2 linked regions of the Callithrix jacchus genome follow. The protein of the gene in region 1 interacts with the protein of each later gene in a pairwise test. Links are inferred from orthologs where the notes say so. Each region holds a gene or a part of one and is shown on either strand. Other genes may lie near its edges.

Region 1 (7,984 bases):
CAGAGATTGATGCATTTTTCATAGAAACCTTGCTGTTAATTATATAGTCAAGCCATCGTAGTGCGGCTTATCTGGTCTGTGGGTTGCCAGACCCTTTATGTCTAGCCACTACTTCTGTGTCCATTATCTATTGCTGCATAATAAATCACTCCTAAATTTAGTGGCTTGAAACAGCGGGATTTATGATTTCTCATGATTCTGTGAGTCAGCTGGGCCAACAGTGCTTAGGCACGTTTTGCTTACGGGCACTCCTGTGGCTGCATTTGGCTGGCAGATTGACTGGGGGCTTGGGTTTAGCTGAGGCAGTCAACTGGAGTTCCACAGTTCTTCCCCAAGCAGCCTCTCCATGTGCCTTCCTTGGACCTCCTCACAGCATGGTGATTGATCTCAAGGCGGTGGTTGAAAAGGACGAGCCCCATGCAAGCACTTACCTAGTCTTTGCTTTTGTTGTGTTTGCTAAAGTCCCATTGGTCATAGCAAGTCACATGGCTCAGCCTAGAGTCAGTACAGGAGGGGACTGCTCAGGGCATGAATAAGAGAGATGATTTATCGGAGACCGCCAATGTAGCCATTAACTTCAGCTCTGTCACTGCTCATTGGCACCTAGACCAGAGTACAGCAGCTGTGACACAGAATATGTTTATCTGATTTTATTATGAATTGGTATGGGATACCAATAGCAAACTCTTTTGATCTCTAAAAATGACACTTTGATATAGTTTAACCTGATAAAAACACTAAACACTAAACTATTTCTTTGAGGGGTGCTAGTGAGAATGTAATGACTTCATTTGGTGTTTTGTCACATTCATAGTTTATAATCTGCTCTTTCTGAACGTTGATCTGCTTAGAATTAGCACAAGTCATTGAGAAAGACAACTTGAGTATAGAACTTTAAAAATAATTTATTCTGGATCTTTCGTTTTCTAAAACCTTCCAAGGGCATGATATGGTGATACATGATTCTAAATTTTGTTTCCTAAAGTTGAACACATTAGGCTTACATAAGCAAAACACCCAGAAAAGTATGTGCTAGGCTTAAACATTAACTGGAAGAGTTCATATACACTGGGCAGATCTATAAAGAGATTGAATGAGAAACCTGTGCCCTTTGTGACATATAAAGTCGATCTAAAAGATTTATTTTCCAACCGCCTACGATACAAAATCATTTTCAAGAATATTGAAAATATTTTCTGTTTCTTCTTAATTTTTCTTCCTTTTCAGGGAAAAGAAGGAGCATTTATGGTTAGAAATTCCAGCCAAGCAGGAATGTACACAGTGTCCTTATTTAGTAAGGCTGTGAAGTAAGTATGATAAGGATTTACGTCTTTTATCTTTCTGTGTATATTTTTTGAATATGCTGTTTATAATCACATTTTGAGATAAGACATAATCTTTAAACTCCGGAGTTTTAGATCAAAGTATTTCTGTTGAGTGTGAACATTTGTAGTTGCCTCCACCACCCTCACCCCACTGCGCCAGCACCCTTGCCCCACTACTTTCAAGAGGCCATTCTCTGGCTAACGCTCTCTTGCCCAACCCAGGCAGTAACAGAATGCCCAGAGCACAGCACGCCTCAGTAAATGTTTATTAAACGACGTCTGGGTGATTCCCTTTCATTCAGGTCTAAGCCTAGAAAGAAAGAAAATAGCAATGGAACCTCTATACTCTCAGCCCTAGCCACCTGCTGAGCAGAGAAGCCTACTCCGGTGTCTAGTTCTTAGTACTTCCACTGCCTGCAGAGTTAGCAGAAGGTTGACTCAGTGCAGCTGTGTTCTCTACACAGCTTCCTTCCGGGACTCTGTCCTCTTTGTGGTGTTAAAAGTTCTTGTTTGAAGCCAAACTTCTAAATCCAAATCCTGGCTCTACTATTTCAGGGTTTTGTGACATTGAGCAAATTTCTTAACCTCTGTGCTTCAACTTGTCATTTGAAAAGGGAACATAATGATTTTTATGTTCCATGAGTGAAGTGAGTTAATTCATATATTATATCCAGAACAGTGCCTGACACATAGTAAGCACTTAATAAACTAACAGTAATTACTATTATTTTTGTTGCTGCTGGGGAAGAGTAGTTCTCCCTGCTCCACTCCCTGTACCCTAACACTTGGGCATAAAAGACACCCCACAGTCACCTCATGCAAATCATCATGAGAATCCTCCTCCAGAGTTCTACAAGCCACTTTCTTATTGATAGTTAGCTCTTTTTTTCCTTTTAATCATCCTCCAAAGCAAATAGAAAATCTGTTTTTATTTACACCATATTGCAGATGAGAGGACTGAGGTTCAAAAAGAGCTTATAAAGACCTATTTGGAGCTAATAAATGACTAATTTGAAGCTGGGTTTCCAATAGCCAAGTCATGTTCCTTCATCTACACCTCTGTGTTTGCACTGAACCTCCAGTGTTTTGGAGTGAGAATCTGGTCAAATATCGATTAAGATCTTTTAAAAATTTCTATGTGTAGAACCCTTTTTTAGCAGCTAAATCAAATGATCATCTGCCTTGGTGCCTTCCTCGTGTGCCCTACCCCACAGTGCATATATGTAGATTTATAATAATTAAGTAATAGAAATGTTACTTTCTATTTTGGAATTTTTTACGGAGTGCCTACCTACACTTCAGATAACAGGACGTACTTTGAATTGTCCAACAGCACTTTCTAATGCCAGAATCCATGTCCCCAGTGTATCTCATATATTAGTTTGCGCCTGATAACACCTGGATGCTGGCTAAAGCCAACCTAGTAAGAATCAGGAGAAGAGTTTGTTTACTGAGTATCAAAAGCTTTGTGGCCCTCTGGCCCTGCAGTTTCAGACAAACCTCGTATCAGATGTCCTCCTAGTCGAGTTTCTTGACTCCAGATTCATTTTTTACAGTAGTCAGATAGATAAATCAGCAAATAGGTAAAAAATGAAATGATTACAAAAGCCCTCTTTTATGAAACCTTATCAATGGCCTTCGGTGAATTGTATGCTGACACCAAAGGCTGATTAAACATTTGCAGCAAAGAGAAGAACCTTTCTCCTTTTATACTTGCAATTTTTACTTGGTTGATGTTACAACAACAATTTTTAAATTTTTTTAGCTTTTAAGTTTATGGGTACATGTGCAGGTTTGTTATATAGGTAAATTCGTGTCATGGGGTTTCTTATAGAGACTATTTCATCACCTGGGTACTAAGCCTGGTATCCAATAGTCATTTTTCCTGCTCCTCTTCTTCCTCCCACCCTCCACCCTCAAGTAGGCCTCAGTGTCTACTGTTTTCCACTATGTGTCCATGTGTTCTCATCATTTAGCTCCCACATACAAGTAGGAACATGTGCCATTTGGTTTTCTGTTCCTGTGTTAGTTTGCTATACAGCAACAGTTTATTAACTGTTTCTTATATGCCAAGCATAACCACATAGGGTAGCTAGCAAGTGATAAAACTGAACTCAAAGCCTGACTCTTGATCACTATGTCATTGGCTGCAATCTAAGACAGGTGTACTATTCCTGATTAGCTTAAATCAACGTGCATCAATTCGCCATTATTTTATAAAAACAGAGGAAAAGAAGAGATTGTTTTTATGTGGAGAAGGTACAAGTTCACATGAGGAATTAAAAGACATCCCCACCTACTTCATCCTGCATGCTTCACTACCAAAAGAGCCTCCCTCCCATGTTTTGGGGTGAGAATACCCAACAGCCTAATTACCTTTACCTCCCTCATTTCCACCTCCATTATTATCCTATTAGAGAATTTCTGTTCAGAATAATGATCCTGAAGAACTACAAGCCTCTCGATCATCAAAGAAAGATTCCAATTTTATACACTTACTAAGGGAGGAGAAGCCCGGAAAGGTGGAATTTTACTGTACGTGAATTTTTAATTTTTTTAGCTTTTATGTTCATGGGTATACGTGCACAAAAAGATACATTGAGTTCAGAGAACTGTCTTCCATAATTACTGTTACGGTTACACCAGGTGTCAACACTGAGAAAAACACCAGGTATCAAGACTGAGAAACCCTCACTAACTTCCCTCGCCAAAATTTGCAAATACATCTAAAAGAATTATTTAACCCTTGCTTAATCAAGCTTCAATTTTTTATTTAAAATGTTCTAACATTTTTTCTGTTATTAGTGATAAAAAAGGAACTGTCAAACATTACCATGTGCATACAAATGCTGAGAACAAATTATACCTGGCAGAAAACTACTGTTTTGATTCCATTCCAAAGCTTATTCATTATCATCAACACAATTCAGCAGGTAATTTATTTTAATTTTTCTTTTATGGGCGTTTGTTGATAAATACCAATTTTCTTGGATACTACTGATCCTCCTGATATTCTTAATTATATAAGGAACCATGAAAGTAGGGAAAATGCTCTCAAGTCCTTTGCCTATCATAATTTTTAACTTACATTTTCAGGAATATAACATGATGCCCTCCTTAATGCCAGAAAGAATGAAATTAAGTAAACTGGGTGACTTGGAAAGAGAAAATCTCTTTATAAAAATATTTGTAGGGTTTTTCTGTGTATAAAAGCAAGAGGATTATAAATTTAAAATATTATGGAAATATAGATATCATTGGATATATGAAACAATTGTCTATTATGACAGGGTTTTTTGCATGCTGATACTAGAACTTACCAATTATTACATATATAAATAGAAATTATGTATTATGTATATATATATATTACATTTTTACAGAGATGAGATCATTCTACATATATTGTTCAGCTTGCTTTCTTTACTCAACATGTCTTAGAGGTCTTTTCATGCAAATACAAAGAGCTTACTTAGGTCTATTTAATAGGTGCATAGAATTCTTTTTTTTTTTTTTTTTTTTTTTGAGACGGAGTTTCGCTCTTGTTACCCAGGCTGGAGTGCAATGGCGCAATCTCGGCTCACCGCAACCTCCGCCTCCTGGGTTCAGGCAATTCTCCTGCCTCAGCCTCCCGAGTAGCTGGGATTACAGGCACGCACCACCATGCACAGCTAATTTTTTGTATTTTTAGTAGAGACGGGGTTTCACCATGTTGACCAGGATGGTCTCGATCTCTTGACCTCGTGATCCACCCGCCTCGGCCTCCCAAAGTGCTGGGATTACAGGCTTGAGCCACCGCGCCCAGCCCAGGTGCATAGAATTCTATCACATAGTTACCCCATGATTTATTCACCTAGCCCTCTATTGATTAGCAGTTGGATCATGTTTCTGTGCACAATTCTGCATGCATAGCTCTGTCCAACCATATGACTGATTCTATAGCCGAATCCCTAGAAGTGGAATTTCTGAGACAAAGGCTAAGAATACTTAAAAGGTACAGATTGCCAAATGCTTTTCAGAAATGTACAATTCCAGTAACAACAATTTCTCTCATCCTCATCAACATTGGGTGCTATTAGTCTTCTAAATTTTTGCCTAATCAACTGGTGGAAATACATCTAGAAATACCCTCTGTTTTCTAGAATAGTGCCACTTAAGAGCAGTGACTGAATTTCTAACAGTGATTAAAAATAAGCCATAAGCTCAGCATTTAATTTGTGCTACTTTATATGACTTGATTGCATGCATATAGGTGAATTGGCCTCACTTCTGGCTCTCATTTTGGTTCTTACTGTTGTGTTTCTTTTGCCCCAATTTCCTCAATTGTTTGTTTTAACCTTTAGTATCTCAGTAGTACCTTTTGGAAAAGGTATTGTACAAAGAGACCTCTCTAAGTGGAATGATTCCACTGCAGAGGATGCACAGGATATCTGAAGAAAATATTAAGACTTCTATTTACATTTGGATTTTTGCCTCATTCTCTTACATTTTCTGTTTGTGAGTGTATTTTTATAATCCACACCAAATATATATTTTATAGAAATGTACTAGTCTTTACATTTTAATTGATTAATTAATTTAGCTGATTAAAGGTGAAGGATTTTTATCAGAGAAACAAAAAAAAAAGATAAAAGTGAAGGATTTTAAAAATTTGGAGACTACTCATATAAAAATCAGACAAATATATAGAAAAAGGAAGGAGGGGAAAAGTAAATGTATGATAGGTCCCCTGACTTGGAGAGCATTTCACATTTAAAGCAAAAAACATATTAACATATGTTTTTAATGGGTTATTTCAAGCCACTATTAAATTTTATAATTATTTTAACCCAGTTTTACCATAACTCAATATAAACAATTAAAATGACCATTTATTGAAACTTAGTAATAGGCTCAGTTTTTAAAAATTCATATGGCTTATTATTTTTTATCCCCTGTATTGCTTGAATTTTTTGTCAAATGTATGTGCTATGTGTATACATATTTAAGTATTGGATTGTAAAGAGATAGCAAAAAAGTAAGGGGTGGATTTTAAAAGATTTCATCAAGCAACTAATTTCTATGGGATTTTTAAAAATCACATACAGTATTTTATTCATTTAACTTTTTCTTTGCATTGAGCTAATTAGTCAAGTTAAGCAAATTAAGACAACCACAGCATGAATGGATTCTCTCTCTGCATCTCAACATTCTTAACTCTGCCTTTTCAGCTACTTTGGAGAGAGACTAGTTGTGAGCCAATGTTTATGATGTAATGTGATGGGATATGATGTAATGATGTGATGATATGATGCTGATTCCATTGCAGGCATGATCACACGGCTCCGCCACCCTGTGTCAACAAAGGCCAACAAGGTCCCTGACTCTGTGTCCCTGGGAAGTGGTATGGATACATTCTTGGGCTCTTAAACTTGATTTTCCATAATTTTTTGTTGAAATATATGGTTAATTTACTTGGGAAAAAAAAGGAGGAAAGACAGGAAGGAGGTCTCTGTTCAGATTGTATCAGGAAGGATTTCCTTTAAAAAAAATTCTCTCAACCTAAATCTGTAAGCTTCTAGCACCACCAAAAAGATCATCAATTTGTTTTCTCTTATTAGACCCCATCATTAGCTTCCAGACCCCATTGTCTGTCCTTCCTTTTTCCTGGATTTTGCACCCACTCGGCAGAGCCAGTATTTAACCTTGTATATTAGGATGATCACATCCACACAGATCACAGTTTAATTTGTTTTATTTTTTAAAAAATCTAACAATGTTTCACCAACCTAAGTACATCGAGTACATTTTGGTGCTGAGCCTTTCCAAGATGCCTCTGGTTGGCAAATTGTTTTTACTCTGAGCTTTCTTGTCAAATAACTGTAGCTACTTCAAGAACAGTGTTGTCCTGGTCCCATTATCACGTGACCACAAGACCGCATCATTAAGGGTTTTTTTTAATTTATCAACTTAAAATAAAAAGTCTTGTTTATATTGTCACTGCGAAACTCCCACTGTAGAGGAAACTCCCACTTGAGAAGCTGTTAGACCCAAAACTTTCTATGCTTATCCTAAAGAATGTCCATCTTGCCTTGTTAGGAATCTGGGAACTGAAAAGAGAAGAGATTACCCTGTTGAAGGAGCTGGGAAGTGGCCAGTTTGGAGTGGTCCAGCTGGGCAAGTGGAAGGGACAGTATGATGTTGCTGTTAAGATGATCAAGGAGGGCTCCATGTCGGAAGATGAATTCTTTCAGGAGGCCCAGACTATGATGTAAGTTTTTCCCAAGGAATGGCTGTTTAGCCCTCATCATGGGAGGACATTAACACTAATAGGCCTGCACTTAACCTTTGCAAGGCCTGGAACAAAAGTCCACATACTGTTTCATAGACATAAATATTTAGAAGTTATAAACTGAGCTAACCAACTGTTAAATCAAATCAGTCTTATGCTCCTACTTTGGCAAATATACCTTCAAAACAACGTGAAAGGCCATATTCAAATTTAGAATTCCCAAGACTCTACAAAGAAACCAGCCTCTGGCCTGTGGTCTTCCAAACTCCACCCCTCCCTCTTCTCCTCCTACACCCAACTCCATCCTACACTATAAGGGGCCTCAGTAGTTATGTGCAAACAGCATTTAGTATACACAAGCTCCCTTTTTGACTCCCACAATTATCTA
Region 2 (8,084 bases), on another chromosome or scaffold:
TTGCACTCCAGCTTGGGTAACAAGAGCGAAACACCGTCTCAAAAAAAAAAAAAAAAAGTGAACAAGAAAGAATGAAGTCAGAAAACTGTACTAGAGATCAGGAATACCCTTGGGGGTATATTAGAAAATGGAAACTTGAACAACCCAAAGTGCATTCACATTTGATTCTGGATTATGTTTGGGGAAAATATAAACATATTCAAAACTCAGGCACTATAAGTTCTTACAGGGCACCCCCAAGGGAAGACTTCTTGCTCTAATCTGTTCCTGCCTCATAAGGGGACTTGCAGACTCAACACAGACATCTCAGGCAGGGACACACAGTTAATACCCACTGGCCTGAACACACAGCCAGCATGGGGGCCACAGAAGCCTGCAATATCTTTTTTTTTTTTTTTTTTTTGAGAGGGAGTTTCACTCTTGTCCAGGCTGGACATTTCAGCTCACTGCAACCTCCCCCTCCTCGGTTCAAGTGATTCTCCTTCCTCAGCGGCCCGAGTAGTTGGGATTACAGGTGCATGCCACCACACCCAGCTAAGTTTTTGTATTTTTAGTAGAGATGAGGTTTCACCATGTTGGCCAGGCTGGTCTCCAACTCCTGACCTCCAGGATCCACCCGACTCGGCCTTCCAAAGTGCTGGGATTAGAGGCGTGAGCCACTGCGCCTGGCCTGCAGTGTCTTTAGGTGGCTTACCTCCCGCAGCTCCAGCCTCTGGGCCACAGCTTCGAGGCTCTCCTGGCCAGTGCTCTCCACCGATAGGGTGAACTCCACAAACTCGTTATTGAGCAGCTGGATCCGAGCAACCAGGCAGCTCTTGCTGGACACCGTGTAGCGCCGGGTGCGTTTCAGTTTCAACCCGAATGGCAGTGGCATCTTCTTCTCCTTTCAAGAGTGGAGGAGCAAAGAGGGAAAAACTACTCCCACCAAAGCGATCCTTTCCAGACGGGACAAACGCTGTCCAGCCTCCAGCTGCTCACCCAGCAGCCGCAACGGAGTCTCCAATGGCCCCAAGAAGGGAGCATCGACGCCAGCGCTGGGGAAAGAGGAACGCCAAGAGTTACTTAAAGGTAACGCTAGACTCTGCTTATTACAAAGAAAAGCCAATCAAGCTGTGTCCAAAGAGTAAGCCGTCCCTCTCCGCTGGAAAAAGAAGGCACTAATAGGACCCGGGAGGCAGGGTGGACTTTTATCTCAGAGGTGCGTTGGGACCAGGGTCAGGCTCCACCCTTCACTTTTGCCTACAAATAGTGATAGCAAACTGTGGCTATCATCAGGCTTAAATGAGATAATGGCCAGCACTACTGTAATCCCAAATTTACTAGTTAGCATTGGTAGTCCTCCTCCTATTTTGGATGTTTTTTCGTAAGTAACTCTTTGGGGCTGTAATACTCCAAATGTCAGAGTTCTTTAATCCTTCAATGAGAAAAGTGCAAAATACCCGAAAAAGAACTAGGTTCCAGTCCCAATCGCTTTAGAAAATTAACTCTGAAGGCGAATGGGAGGAATAATCCCCACTAAGAATGGCAGGTGTGTGGTTCAAACACGGTGAGCTGTCTAACAAGCGCTTGTGGAAGTATTTACGCCATCAAATTGATTTACTGATAAACTTCATAAAAGACCCTACAAATGCTCCTTATCCAATTACCACTAGAAGAGTGGCAGTTCTGAAAGGCGAGGCCCCGCCCCTCTCCAAGATGGGGACGCCCAAACAAGCCTTCACCTAAGGGGGGCCGCGGCCCAGAAAAGGAGACGGGCGAGGCCTTCCAAGCCATCCTGAGTTGATGAGCGGCCGGGGGGCAGCAAACCCAAGAAGCCCACGGGGCCCTGGAGACCTCAGGCCCCGGCTTCTCCCGCGTCCTTCCCTCGGGAAGAGCACGCGGCGTTGCCAGGCCAACCAGTAGCCTAGGAGGCCCCGGAACTCTCTTTCTGCAGCCGCGTTCCTGGACGGACGCGCTCTGAAAGGGACCGGTCCCTCGGCTCCCGGAGGGACCATTTAAAGGGACCAGCGCGAGACCTACAGGCGGTGGAGAGAGTGGGCGGGCCCCGCGCGATGCCGGCTTTGGAGCCACAGCACCCCGAAATACGCTACTTAAAACGTGTTTCGTAGAGCGCGGTCTCGCTCTGCCACCCAGGCTGGAGTGCAGTGGCGCCATCGCAGCTCACCGCAGCCCCGAACACCTAGGCTCAAGCGATCCTCCAGCCTCAGCCTCCCGACTAGCTGGGACCACAGGCGCGCGCCACCACGCAGGGCTCTGTTGAGTTTTTAACCAGACCAATTCATTGTAACTTCTGGGCCGAGACAAATGAGGGCGAGCACCAGCTGGGGATTTTTTTTTTTTTTTTCCCATTTCACTGATAAAGCTTATAACAGCTGGGGATTTTTACATCAGCTGAATTAGTTTTTTCCCCCTAAACAAGTCTACAAAATCCCGGATATTTCCAGGGTCCCGGGACGCCCCACTTCCTTCTGAGCAGAGGTTGCCTGCTGGGGATGAATCGCTTAGCGAGAACCAGCTATGGCTGGCTACGCTGAGCTCGGGCCCGGGACCGCGCAGGGGGGCAGAATGTGCCCCCGACCCTTTCATCTGGCACGCAGAACCCAACCTTCAGAAAGAGAAGCTACTTCGCAGTTTCACGCTAGGACGGGCTGGGCTGTGAATCGATCCCAAATTCCACACTCCCAGTCCTCTGCTGGGTCCTGCTCTCCTGACTGTGTCTCAGGCCTAGAGGCGATGGGCAGTCAGGGTTAGGGAATGGCAGAGCTGGAGAAAAGAGTTCGGCTACTACCCTCGGCTTTGCCAAACTTAACAGTTTGAAATTCCATTCCACAAATGTGTATTGCCTCTCTGGGTACAAGACAGCATAATGAGCATCGTGAGAAATCTAAGACGAATCCTAAGCCGTCGCTGTCTTTAAGGAGATTACAACCATGCTATAATTACATACAGAGCTGTATCTCTAATAAGGACCCAACCACGGTTTTATCTGGCTAGTTTTTTTGTTTTGAACTCTGGTTATTCCCCATAGCCAGGAAAATCAAAATGTTAAAAACAAGGGATAGGGGAAGGCCAGAGGAAAAAAGCAAAGCTGGAAATAGCTAAAGCACTGTGTTAATTAACAGCATTTGCTGACTGCTTTCTGCAGGTAAAACCACCACACTATGGAGGGAAACAGAAAATAAATATTAAAAGACACGGTTTCCACTTCCAGTACCTTTCAATGCTCTTTGCTATTTCAGGGGTATAAACTAAGTAAAGCAAGATGAAAAGCAATTAGCAAATGAGAACCTTAAATAATAAGCTTTTACCTAGAAAACTGATAAACCAAGAGTGTAAATAGTTAAGGATTATAAATATCATGCATTCTAAACACCATTTCATGGGATCAGATGGTGGGTTTCAATTTTATATAAAAATTATGGTAACTGGAAACTGAACGGATTTAGTAGTGTAGACAAAAAGATAAGATATAGCATATGTGTAGAGAAAAGATCAATATTTGTATTAGGTGCCATTCAAATATGGTAGTCTTTTCACTACATGGAACTATGCCTTGAAAGCGATAGATACTACACTGTAACTTAATTATTAACTTAAGTTCTGCTTAAGCAAACTCAGTAAAACTTTCCATTGTCCCTTAGATTTGAAATGCATTACAGCATCAGGGATAAAGAAAAAGTCAAAGTTATCTCTTATTTTGATTGATGAAATTGAAAAAGTTGCTGCGTGTGTGTGTGTGTGTGTGTGTGTGTGTATGGTGCACCCCCCCACACAAAATCTATCCATAAGAATGCCTTGCTTTTTGCTTATTTATATAAGACCCACTATGCTAAAACAGTGTTTTTGTTTAATAATTTACAAACTAATCAATGATTTACACATCTTAATTTTCAGTAATATTCAGTATTTGCTGCCAAATGATATAATACAGTTATGAATGTCTGAAGGTAATAAAACCAAGAGGAGTAGAAATTTAAGAGTTCTTTGGGGAGGTCTGTTTTAGGTATAAAATAATATGCAATAATCTGGAAATGGTTGGGTCTGGAATTATAATTTACTAAATTAAACATAATTCATAAATAGCTAATAAAGGAAAACTAGGATAACTTTGTTTCTCTACAAAATCTGTTTTGTAGTAAATAAACGGATACATACTAGATTCTGCTTCAGTACAAGTTTACAAAAGGCAGTCTCAACTATTTGTGAATTCATTTTAATTTTTCCTCTCTACATCCCCTTCCAAAAGTTTCTCAAATACACTTTACCTCTGAATCTTACAGCGTTTCCCCTTTCCTAAGGTCCTTACGTAATTTTGCCAAGGTTGCTTTAAAACAAAATGAACACTAAAAAGAGAGAGTATGTGACATATTTAGGGTAATATCTATAGCATTAAATCAAACCCATGCTTCCCAAGGAGAAAACATTTGTGCGTAGATGCTCCAGAATAAAATGCCCTAGAAACAAAACGGACAGCTATATTCAGAGTAAAATTACTCTGGTATTCCAAACTTAAAAAAATAAACTGTCAGCAACTAAGAGGCGTATAGCAGTTGTCACTTGGAGCACACGAATGTTTTCAATGTGTTTGCGAGCATACTCTATTATTGTAAGGCTTTCTCAGCAAAAAAGAAAATAGGACGAACATGCCAAGAGCGGCCAATCTAATCAGGATTTGCAGAAATCACCAGTCGGAATTTGCAGATCCAAGAATTCTCTTCCAGAATAAACACTACTCCAAAAACGAACCAGGCATTACCAAACAGCCCTTCCTTGCGCCCCTTCTCGCCAAAGTTATCTGGCGAATTTCACGTTTACATATTCTGAGAGGCACAAATATGCCTAACCCATTTAAAACCCCGATCCAGAATTAACCCGCAACAATCGGCCAGGGCGTTCAGAATAGAAGTTCCAGACCCCTTTTAGAAATTACTCAAGTACATGAGAGCGAATCTGGAAAAGGAAAACTTTTGTCTTTGTTAACGCTCCCGCTGTGAGTCTGGCAGCCGCGCCCCATCCTCCGGGACTCCGGGGCCGCGGGCGCGTTCCGGGGTCCCGGCGAGCGGACACACCCCACCGCTCCAGCCGGTGCCCGCCCCTCCCGCCGGCCAAGCCCAGCGCCCTCACCTGCTCGCGCTCCCGCATCCTCGGGGCCGCGCGCACCGCTCAGCGGCCCGCCTCCCGGGGCCCCGCAGCTCTGCCGCCGCAGCCGCGCCCGCACGCTAGCCCGCGCCGCGCCGCGCTCATGGGGCTCGCACGCCTCACTTCCTGTCTCCAAAAACCCGGCCCGCAGACCATTCCCCTGGGCAGAGTCCGGCGGTGGCGATGGCGAGGGGCGAGGCCTGGGGGTGGACCTGCAGGCGAGTAGTGCCGCACAAAGAAGCCCTGCGGGGGCGGGGGGAGGCAGTAGGACGGACTGACGGACGGTCGGACCGACGCGGGACGCGCGGCCGGAGCAGCGGGCGGCCGGGCCGGGCGTCCCTCCCCCTAGGTCGGGCGGGCGGACCCAGGGAGGCGGCGGCGGCGGCCCGTGACCTCAGAGAGTTGGAATGCTGGCAGCCGCGCGGGGGAGGCGCGGACAGCTGCGCCCGGCCGCCGGGGAGGGGGCGCGCCGCAGCTTTTTTTAATCGTATGACCACTTATTTTAAGAGTTTCCAAATAAAACAAGGCTTTTAATAAAATGAGAGGAGGGGGTATTGTTTAGGTTCCAGTTAAAGGGGTTTATTCTTGTGTTATTAGGTAGGCTGTAAAATGCTATTATTAATGGTTATTCGTTTACTATGGTATGTTTCTGAAGACTATTGGAATACATTTCTTTTCCTGCTTGCTCCTAAGGTTATGCCCCATATAACTAGACACTTCCAGTATTGTGTGGGAAAGCCCCCAGCACCACCACCACCAAAAATGGTTCATATACCTCAAATAACCTGTCAGTCCCCAAAAGAGAGCTGTCTGCTTACATAATAGGGAGCAGAGCTCTTAAGGGTGGAGAGTCGACTACGTTGTTTGGGTTCAAATCCCAGCTCCAACAGTTACTAGCTAGGTGACCTTGTGCAAATTTCTTAACTTCTCTGTAACTGTTTCCTCTACTAGAAAATGGGGATAATATTAAACAATATCTTTGCACCGCAGAGGGGGGAAAAAGAAATACTAAGCAATATCCAATAACTTGTGTAAAGTATATATGAAGTGTTTCATTTAATTGACGTTTATTACACAGTATTTTTGCACTGCATTATTATTGTATTGCAACAGCTAAGCTAAGGAATAAAGCTGTGTGACCCTAACACTATTACAATAGAGTATAAGATCTTTTTTTGGCATGTGGAACAGAGAGCCTTTTAATTTATGTAAATTTTAATTTCAATGATTTTGTTTTAATGCTGTTGTTTCTGGAAAGTTTGTTTAAGTATTATGTTTCATTTAAATCTCATTTTCTTCAACAATTAACGAAAACTCTTTTTTTTTTTTGAGAGTCTCCTCTGTCGCCCAGGCTACAATGCAGTGGTGTGATCTCCGCTCACTGCAACCTCCACCTCTTGGGTTCAAGCGATTCTACTGTGTCAGCCTCCCAAGTAGATGGGACTACAGGTGTCTGCCACCACACCTGGCTAATTGTTGTTTTTAGTAGAGACAGGGTTTCACCATGTTGGCCAAGCTGGTCTCAATCTCCTGACCTCAGGACATCCACTTGCCTCAGCCTCCCAAAGTGCTGGGGTTACAGTCATGAGCCAAAAAAAACTTTTAAATACTTATCTATGAATGACACGTGGTCCCTGCACAACAAGGACTTTTGGTCTAGTGGGTGACAAAGGCACCTGCACACCACACACACAGTGCAAGGCCAAAGTGAGGAGCACTGTCATAGAGGTATGAGTTATACCCAAGAGCAAAGCCCAGCAACGTTCATCTTGGGTCATTTACCTAAAGGCAAATAAGATTGTGTTTCTAAGGGAAAAAACAGATCAATTCTGTTTGTAATTGATATTTCAACTGAACTCTATGAGGGGGTCAGTTTGTGTGTGAGGAAAGAAAGATCTGAAAAGAAGTCACTTTGCTGGCTTCCCAAGCTAGGAAAATTGGAATCATGTGTGACTTCTCCCATTCTCATCTCCAGCCTGTCATCAAAACCTAGTATTTCCTCCTTTGAAATGCCTCATGAATTATTTCTTTCCTTTCTCTTCCCTCTGGAACATTCTAAATCCAAACCGTCATAATTTTACATCCAATTATTGCAACAAGGGTGGTCTCCTAGCATCTCGTTTCTCAGTTCTCTCTTATGTCCTTGCTAATACCAGGCTTCCCTCTCTTGAGTTATCACTCCTAAGGGACTCCCAAGGTTAACTTCTTCAGCCTGACCTTTAGGGACTTTCCAAACCGGTCTCTCTGACCACTCATATGGCTTTCTGCCCCTATCAAGCTTTGTCCCTCACCAGCAGCCCCTCCGGTCCTCCTTCCTTTTTTTTTTTTTTTTTTTTGAGACGGAGTTTCGCTCTTGTTACCCAGGCTGGAGTGCAATGGCGCGATCTCGGCTCACCACAACCTCTGCCTCCTGGGTTCAGGCAATTCTCCTGCCTCAGCCTCCTGAGTAGCTGGGAGTACAGGCACACGCCACCATGCCCAGCTAATTTATATATATATATATTTTTTTTTAGTAGAGACAGGGTTTCATCTTGTTGACCAGGATGGTCTCGATCTTTTGACCTCGTGATCCACCCGTCTCAGCCTCCCAAAGTGCTGGGGTTATAGGCGTGAGCCACCGTGCCCGGCCCGGTCCTCCTTCCATTTGTCTAAGCCTTGCTGCTTCTCTCCAAGTAAGACTCTGCTTCCAGGATGACTTTCTAGCCACATATCATTCCACAGTGATCTCCACACTTGGCAAGAACTAAAAGTTATTTCATGAAGGCTTCTTTTATATCTCCTAGAATTTCCAGGACAGTACTGGGCAAAGAATAGGCACTAAATAAAAACTTGTTAATTGAATCAGGAAGAAAATAAAAGAATTTTTTAAATAGAAAATGACCGTAAAACCCAAGAGATGTTAGACAACTGAGTTGAACTTCCTCCCTCAAGTCCACAGATGTCAT

What was found.
Region 2: the proteins of BMX (region 1) and PTPN21 interact in binary tests that used the Homo sapiens proteins (3 or more experiments, as listed by UniProt). The link is inferred for Callithrix jacchus from reciprocal best matches to the Homo sapiens genes BMX and PTPN21.

What each region holds. Positions count from the first base shown.
Region 1 is NC_133524.1:15,846,680-15,854,663, forward strand, and holds part of BMX (cytoplasmic tyrosine-protein kinase BMX), read left to right. Parts: intron 1-1,227; coding exon 1,228-1,307; intron 1,308-4,130; coding exon 4,131-4,258; intron 4,259-6,633; coding exon 6,634-6,708; intron 6,709-7,403; coding exon 7,404-7,575; intron 7,576-7,984. UniProt on the Homo sapiens protein: Non-receptor tyrosine kinase that plays central but diverse modulatory roles in various signaling processes involved in the regulation of actin reorganization, cell migration, cell proliferation and survival, cell adhesion, and apoptosis.
Region 2 is NC_133509.1:123,396,686-123,404,769, forward strand, and holds the start of PTPN21 (tyrosine-protein phosphatase non-receptor type 21), read right to left. Parts: upstream 5,487-8,084; 5' UTR 5,125-5,486; intron 1,925-5,124; exon of another isoform or gene 1,722-1,924; intron 1,035-1,721; 5' UTR 875-1,034; coding exon 695-874; intron 1-694.